Linked DNA regions of Pelodiscus sinensis. The protein of the gene in region 2 interacts with the protein of the main gene of each other region in a biochemical or structural test. Links are inferred from orthologs where the notes say so. Each region holds a gene or a part of one and is shown on either strand. Other genes may lie near its edges.

What was found. The genes of interacting proteins can lie anywhere in the genome.
Region 1: the proteins of SNCA (region 2) and APOE form a complex in vitro, tested with the Homo sapiens proteins (2 studies listed by BioGRID and IntAct). The link is inferred for Pelodiscus sinensis from reciprocal best matches to the Homo sapiens genes SNCA and APOE.

Annotation. Positions count from the first base shown.
Region 1 is NW_027465876.1:424,463-428,205, reverse strand, and holds the start of APOE (apolipoprotein E), read left to right. Parts: upstream 1-1,032; 5' UTR 1,033-1,132; exon of another isoform or gene 1,133-1,159; intron 1,160-2,129; 5' UTR 2,130-2,143; coding exon 2,144-2,186; intron 2,187-3,743. UniProt on the Homo sapiens protein: APOE is an apolipoprotein, a protein associating with lipid particles, that mainly functions in lipoprotein-mediated lipid transport between organs via the plasma and interstitial fluids.
Region 2 is NC_134715.1:16,040,912-16,044,654, forward strand, and holds the start of SNCA (alpha-synuclein), read right to left. Parts: upstream 2,274-3,743; 5' UTR 2,008-2,273; intron 1-2,007. UniProt on the Homo sapiens protein: Neuronal protein that plays several roles in synaptic activity such as regulation of synaptic vesicle trafficking and subsequent neurotransmitter release.

The DNA.
Region 1 (3,743 bases), on a different chromosome or scaffold from region 2:
AGCGCTCTGGAGCTGGCTCTCGCTGGGTCCGGGGTGCGCTCTGGAGCTGGCTCTCGCTGGGACCGGGGTGCGCTCTGGAGCTGGCTCTCGCTGGGACGGGAGGGTGCGCTCTGGAGCTGGCTCTCGCTGGGACCAGGGTGCGCTCTGGAGCTGGCTCTCGCTGGGACCGGGGTGCGCTCTGGAGCTGGCTCTCGCTGGGACCGGGGAGCGCTCTGGAGCTGACTCTCGCTGGGACCGGGGTGCGCTCTGGAGCTGGCTCTCGCTGGGACCGGGGAGCGCTCTGGAGCTGGCTCTCGCTGGGTCCGGGGTGCACTCTGGAGCTGGCTCTCACGGGCCCCACCAGGTTACAGTGGGGCTTAGCTGCAGGCACCAGAGCAAGCAGAGCGCTCTATCCGTTCCCACAGCTCTGCCCCCCACATGGAGTGAGGTCCCTAGCAAGATGCATGCCGGGGGAAGGGGGGGCCGCACGGGTCTCCAAACATCACAGTCTGGGGCTGTAGTGAATTTTCATCCACACCCCACCCAGCATGAGGTCTCAGGGTTCCCCACAAACATGAGGCACGAGGTGTGAGCACCGCACAAGGCACATCATGGCACCACAGCAGGTCCCAGCACCACCCCACACAACCAACCTCAGCCCCAGGTCTTGGCCCCCCTAACACCTAGGGGTCAGGTCCACCCCCCAGGGTCACCCCCCCCAGCTTGTTAAACTTGGATCCTCTCTGTGGTTTCCTTGGCAAACAGGACACACATGCTGCTGGGGGCTGATTCCTCCCTTTGGGTCTGCCCCCCGAGTGTGGCAGGAGCGACTCCCCTTTGCCTCCTGCCCCTCCATCCCTGAGGGGGCTACTTGCTGGCAGAGACAGGAGGCCTGGCAGACAGCACGGGGCAAGGGGAGAGCACGTCTGTTTGTCTGTCGCCTGCCCCGGCAAGCAGAGGGTTAACACTCTCCAAGGGGGACTGTGCAGCTCCATGAGGGGGGGGGGGGGAAGTAACCTTCACCCCTACAGCTGCCTTGGCGAGTTTGTGCTGGCTCTGCCCCCACCCCGCCCCCGTGCTGCTGCTGTGGGTATTTAAGGCAGGAAGTGGGGCCCAGGCATCGAGAGCTGAGGGCAGCCTGGGAAAAGACAGGGTGGGTAGTGCAGGCCGGAGGAGACGGGTGAGGGGCAGCAGGAGGAGAGGCAGAGGTTGCAACCTTCAGGAGGCTGGTTTGGGGGCAGGTGGGGGGCAGCCCAGAGGTGGGTGGGGTGGGCAGCAGCCCAGAAGGGCAAGGGCTTTCCTTGCTTTAGCTTCCTATGGGCTCTGCACCTCAGCTTGTTTCTCTGTGCCAGGCCTCACCCTCCCCAGCCTCCTTCACCCCAGCCCTCTCCCCCCCCAGCCTCCTTCGCCCCAGCCCTCTCCCCCCCCAGCCTCCTTCGCCCCAGGCCTCCCCCCCCAGCCTCCTTCACCCCAACCCTCTTCCCCCCCCCAGCCTCCTTCACCCCAACCTCTCTCTTCCTCCCCAGCCTCCTTCACCCCAGCCCTCTCCCCCCCCAGCCTCCTTCACCCCAGCCCTCTCCCCCCCAGCCTCCTTCACCCCAGCCCTCTCCCCCCCCAGCCTCCTTCACCCCAGCCCTCTCCCCCCCAGCCTCCTTCACCCCAACCTCTCTCTTCCTCCCCAGCCTCCTTCACCCCAGCCCTCTCCCCCCCCAGCCTCCTTCACCCCAGCCCTCTCCCCCCCCAGCCTCCTTCACCCCAACCTCTCTCTTCCTCCCCAGCCTCCTTCACCCCAACCCTCTCCCCCCCAGCCTCCTTCACCCCAGCCCTCTCCCCCCCCAGCCTCCTTCACCCCAACCTCTCTCTTCCTCCCCAGCCTCCTTCACCCCAGCCCTCTCCCCCCCAGCCTCCTTCACCCCAGCCCTCTCCCCCCCAGCCTCCTTCGCCCCAGGCCTCCCCCCCAGCCTCCTTCACCCCAACCTCTCTCTTCCTCCCCAGCCTCCTTCACCCCAGCCCTCTCCCCCCCCAGCCTCCTTCGCCCCAGGCCTCCCCCCCAGCCTCCTTCACCCCAGCCCTCTCCCCCCCAGCCTCCTTCACCCCAGCCTCTCTCTTCCCCCCCCAGCCTCCTTCACCCCAGGCCTCTCTCCCCACAGGCAAAGCTGCAGCCATGAAGGTCTGGACTGTGCTGCTGGGAGCCACCCTGCTGGCAGGTAAATGGCCCCTTGAGTTCTTCCCCATTCCCCTGCCCCTCACCCGGCTAGATCCCCCCCCCCCCCCACGCTAAGGGGGCTGGGAGCCAGGACTCCTGGGGTCCATCCTGGTGCTGGGAGGGCAGTGGGGGCCAGTGGTTAGAGCACTGGGGCTGGGAGCCAGGACTCCTGGGGTCCATCCCGGCGCTGGGAGGGCAGTGGGGGCCAGTGGTTAGAGCACTGGGGCTGGGAGCCAGGACTCCTGGGGTCCATCCTGGTGCTGGGAGGGCAGTGGGGGCAGTGGTTAGAGCACTGGGGGTGGGAGCCAGGACTCCTGGGGTCCATCCCGGCGCTGGGAGGGCAGTGGGGGCCAGTGGTTAGAGCACTGGGGCTGGGAGCCAGGACTCCTGGGGTCCATCCTGGCGCTGGGAGGGCAGTGGGGGCCAGTGGTTAGAGCACTGGGGCTGGGAACCAGGACTCCTGGGGTCCATCCCGGTGCTGGGAGGGCAGTGGGGGCCAGTGGTTAGAGCACTGGGGCTGGGAGCCAGGACTCCTGGGGTCCATCCTGGCGCTGGGAGGGCAGTGGGGGCTAGTGGTTAGAGCACTGGGGCTGGGAACCAGGACTCCTGGGGTCCATCCTGGCGCTGGGAGGGCAGTGGGGGCTAGTGGTTAGAGCACTGGGGCTGGGAACCAGGACTCCTGGGGTCCATCCCGGCGCTGGGAGGGCAGTGGGGGCCAGTGGTTAGAGCACTGGGGCTGGGAGCCAGGACTCCTGGGGTCCATCCCGGCGCTGGGAGGGCAGTGGGGGCCAGTGGTTAGAGCACTGGGGCTGGGAGCCAGGACTCCTGGGGTCCATCCTGGCGCTGGGAGGGCAGTGGGGGCCAGTGGTTAGAGCACTGGGGCTGGGAACCAGGACTCCTGGGGTCCATCCTGGTGCTGGGAGGGCAGTGGGGGCCAGTGGTTAGAGCACTGGGGCTGGGAGCCAGGACTCCTGGGGTCCATCCTGGTGCTGGGAGGGCAGTGGGGGCCAGTGGTTAGAGCACTGGGGCTGGGAACCAGGACTCCTGGGGTCCATCCTGGTGCTGGGAGGGCAGTGGGGGCCAGTGGTTAGAGCACTGGGGCTGGGAGCCAGGACTCCTGGGGTCCATCCCGGCGCTGGGAGGGCAGTGGGGGCCAGTGGTTAGAGCACTGGGGCTGGGAGCCAGGACTCCTGGGGTCCATCCTGGTGCTGGGAGGGCAGTGGGGGCCAGTGGTTAGAGCACTGGGGGTGGGAGCCAGGACTCCTGGGGTCCATCCTGGCGCTGGGAGGGCAGTGGGGGCAGTGGTTAGAGCACTGGGGGGGGGGTGCTGACTCCGAGCCCCAACCCGTCCACAGATCGTGTGCTCCCTTTCAGCTGGTAACCCGCCTATTGTGCGTTTTGTACAAAGCCTGGACCAAGGAAGCCCCCGATCTCTGTCAGGATCTGCAGTGCTCAGCATGACAGGGCCCCTGTCTTGGTGGGGGTCCATGCAGGGCCCGGGATGACAGGGCCCATCTCGGTCAGTCTGGGTGGGGCCGGCGCAAAGGGCCCCCGTCTC
Region 2 (3,743 bases):
CATTCCGTTACTGCGAAATTAATTTGAAATAGCAGAGGGCTTATTTCAAAATTGTTAACCCTCATTCCACGAAGAATAGTGCCAATTTTGAAACTACTATTTCAAAAATAAGCGCTGTGTAGAGGCTTATTTCGAAAAAAAGGGGACCTCCAGCCCTTCCCAGGGTGCCCTGCTGGCCGCTCTGGCCACAAGGCAACTTCTGACCTGATGCCCTGCCAGAACTGGTTCCAACCAGCCTTAAATGCGATTCAACGACCACTCAGTGTGGACGCGCTATTTCAAAATAGAAAAACACTATTGCGACCTGCATTTTGTGTGTAGACGCGTTCTTTCGAAATAAGCTATTTCGAATGAACTATTTTGAAAGTAGATATTTCAAAATAATGCTGTAGTGTAGACATACCCTTTGACTGGGTGCCAAACATCTGGGCGGCAGCAACCACTACCTACTTGTGATCATTTAAATGTGGAAATAAACAGGAGCGAGATTTGTCTCATTAGCACACACTGCAAAATCTGTCACCCTCCCACAGAAAGGGAACAGCTTTCACACTGCTTTAAATAGGAATCTCGGGTGAAATGCATGAGATCGAGCCTTCTGCCGTCACACAATCTCTCTGGAGCTACGAGGGTGAGGCTGGATCCACTTGACACCTACCCTCAGCCGCAGGGGAAAGCTCCAAATCCGTTTTAGGAGTCCCGCCCTGCTCCAGAAGGCTGCAGCTACCTGGACACAGTGTCCTAGTGGAAATTAGCCGAGCGGGGATGAGACATCTCTGCGCACGTGGGCAATGCCCGCTCAGACAATAGTGGCTCCAGTCCCTCGTCCCCGTCTCCCGCACAGGGAGCTGCACTCGGAGCTCCAGAACCGCCCCCCCCCCCTCGCTTGAGGTGCTCTGTGGGGCTTGCTGGGGGTGGGGAGGCTCCTGCTGGTGGGGCGGCGCCACTCCTGAGCCTGCCCGCTACCAAGCGGGGGGGGGGGGGGGGGGCGGGCAGCTCCCGCCCGGGACTGCTCCTGGGGGCACCGGCACGTACGGACCCCGCCGCCCAGAGCGACCGGACAGAGCGCCGTGACCATAGAGACACAAACAGACCCGGTCACGGACACGGGACAGAGTAGCAGAGGCATACAGGCACCTATAGACCCTGTCTCATGGACAGGGCGGGGTGCTAGGACCATACAGGCACCTATAGAACCGGTCTCATAGACAGGGCTGGGTGCTAGGACAATACAGGCACCTATAGAACCGGTCTCATAGACAGGGCGGGGTGCTAGGACCATACAGGCACCTATAGAACCGGTCTCATAGACAGGGCGGGGTGCTAGGACCATACAGGCACCTATAGAACCGGTCTCATAGACAGGGCGGGGTGCTAAGACCATACAGGTACCTATAGAACCGGTCTCATAGACAGGGCAGGACGGGGTGCTAGGACCATACAGGCACCTATAGACCCGGTCTCATAGACAGGGCGGGGTGCTAGGACCATACAGGCACCTATAGAACCGGTCTCATAGACAGGGCGGGGTGCTAGGACCATACAGGCACCTATAGAACCGGTCTCATAGACAGGGCGGGGTGCTAAGACCATACAGGTACCTATAGAACCGGTCTCATAGACAGGGCGGGGTGCTAGGACCATACAGGCACCTATAGACCCGGTCTCATAGACAGGGCGGGGTGCTAGGACCATACAGGCACCTATAGACCCGGTCTCAGGCAGGGCAGGGCGGGGTGCCAGGACCATACAGGCACATCACGACCCTATAGGCACATACAGACCCACCCTCCTGTCCGTCGGCAGGCTGGATCTATATGTCCCTCCTCCCCCCCCCCCCCCCAAATCAGAAACCCTTCCACCAGGCGCGCCCCGGCTGCCGTGCTTCAGCCAGCTCCCTGGCACCTGCCCCGCTCCGCCCGTCGGGGAGGACCCTGGGCCGGTCCCCCCGCGGGGGGAAAGCCAGAGCCCGGCCACAGGCAGCGCAGCCCCGCCCAGGCTACTTACCGCCGGACGGGACTTCAGCCTGCAGCCGTGGGGAGCCTGCGAGCGCCGGGACGCGAGCGGTGGGTCGCACAGGCCCCGCGGGAGCTGCCCCCTTTCAGCGCATCCCCGGCAAAGCGGGCGGAGAGAAGCAGGGAGCGAGTCCGGCAGCTCACGCGCCCGGTCCCAGCTCCGCGGGCGGGGATCGGAGAGAAGGGGAGGAGAGAAGGGAGCGGGGAGCGATGGTGAGGCGCTTCTAGCGTGCGAAGCAGCCCCTCGCCCTCCTCCCCCGCCCTCTCGGCTGATTTGCCAGGGGGAAGAAAGAGACACCCCTCCACCCCCAGCCTTTGGGCTCCAGTGCCGCTCCCCCCCCCCCCACATCCAGCCTGACGTGGGGCGGGACAGCTCTCTGGCTACAGCACCCCCAGCATTGAGACTGCTAATGGGAGTGGAGTGGAGCTTGGGCCACAAGCTATTTTTAGCCCGAGTTTATCTACCCCAGTGAGTGCCTGGTCCATGTAGACATAATCACAGATCCTGGGGGGAATCGTATTTCACCGCTGGGGATTGCAGGGGCCTGGCATGGGGCAGGCCATCATTAGCTTCTCCAGTTCCCCTTTGACTCATTAACAACAATAAAGCTGGATATATAATAAAACCTAGGAGGTGGATACATTTTTATTCAAGTTCACACACATTAAGGCTAGGCAAGATACCCACCGGGTAAAATGGAAAGATAGATCCTCTTGATCTTCCTTTCTAAGGGTATGTCTACACTACCCCCCTAGTTCGAACTAGGAGGGTAATGTATGCATACCGCACTTGCAAATGAAGCCCAGGATTTGAATTTCCCGGGCTTCATTTGCATAAGCGGGGAGCCGCCATTTTAAAAACCCCGCTGGTTCGAACCCCGTGCAGCGCAGCTACACGGGGCTTGAACTAGGTAGTTCTGAATAGGAATCCTAGTCCGAACTACCTAGTTCGAGCCCCGTGTAGCCGCGCAGCACGGGGTTCGAACCAGCGGGGTTTTAAAAACGGTGGCTCCCCGCTTATGCAAATGAAGCCCGGGAAATTCAAAACCCGGACTTCATTTGCAAGTGCGGTATGCCTACATTACCCCGCTAGTTCGAACTAGCGGGGTAGTGTAGACATACCCTCAGCTCCCAAATTATCCCAGAAAAGAAAGAACAGCAGTAGTTTTTCCAAAGTGCCTAAGGTCAGAGCCAGATTATCCAGTAAACACAGTGCATATAGCCTACAAAAAATTTAGGGCCCCAAAAAAAATCATGATTGACTCAAAAATAAGAAAATAAAACAGCTCAATCACACTTAATAATTTGCTATTTTTATTAGAATACATGTGCAAATGTTGAAGATCAATTAAATGGAGGTGTTATTAAATCTTTAGTCAACAAACAACATGCAGGTATAACATACAATTAAATATTTATTTTGTGACTCTTTCTGTTAGCAAAATCACAGACTACATAATCAAATGTTATTTTTCTCAAAAGCTCACTCTCAATTGAAAGTAGTGCAAGGGAGATAGTTGTTTCTGACCCATAGTAGACTGAAGACAGTCCTTCATATAGTTTAACTTTGAAAAAGAGTACTCCCTTCACAGTTTGCTCCCAAGATGGCGAGATACATTCTGAAAGCAATGTTGACATTGGAAAACTTGTTACCAACTTGTCTGCCATTTGTGCACTGATCATTGCTGCCACAGATTTCTTCTCTACATACCATACATATGTGAGAAC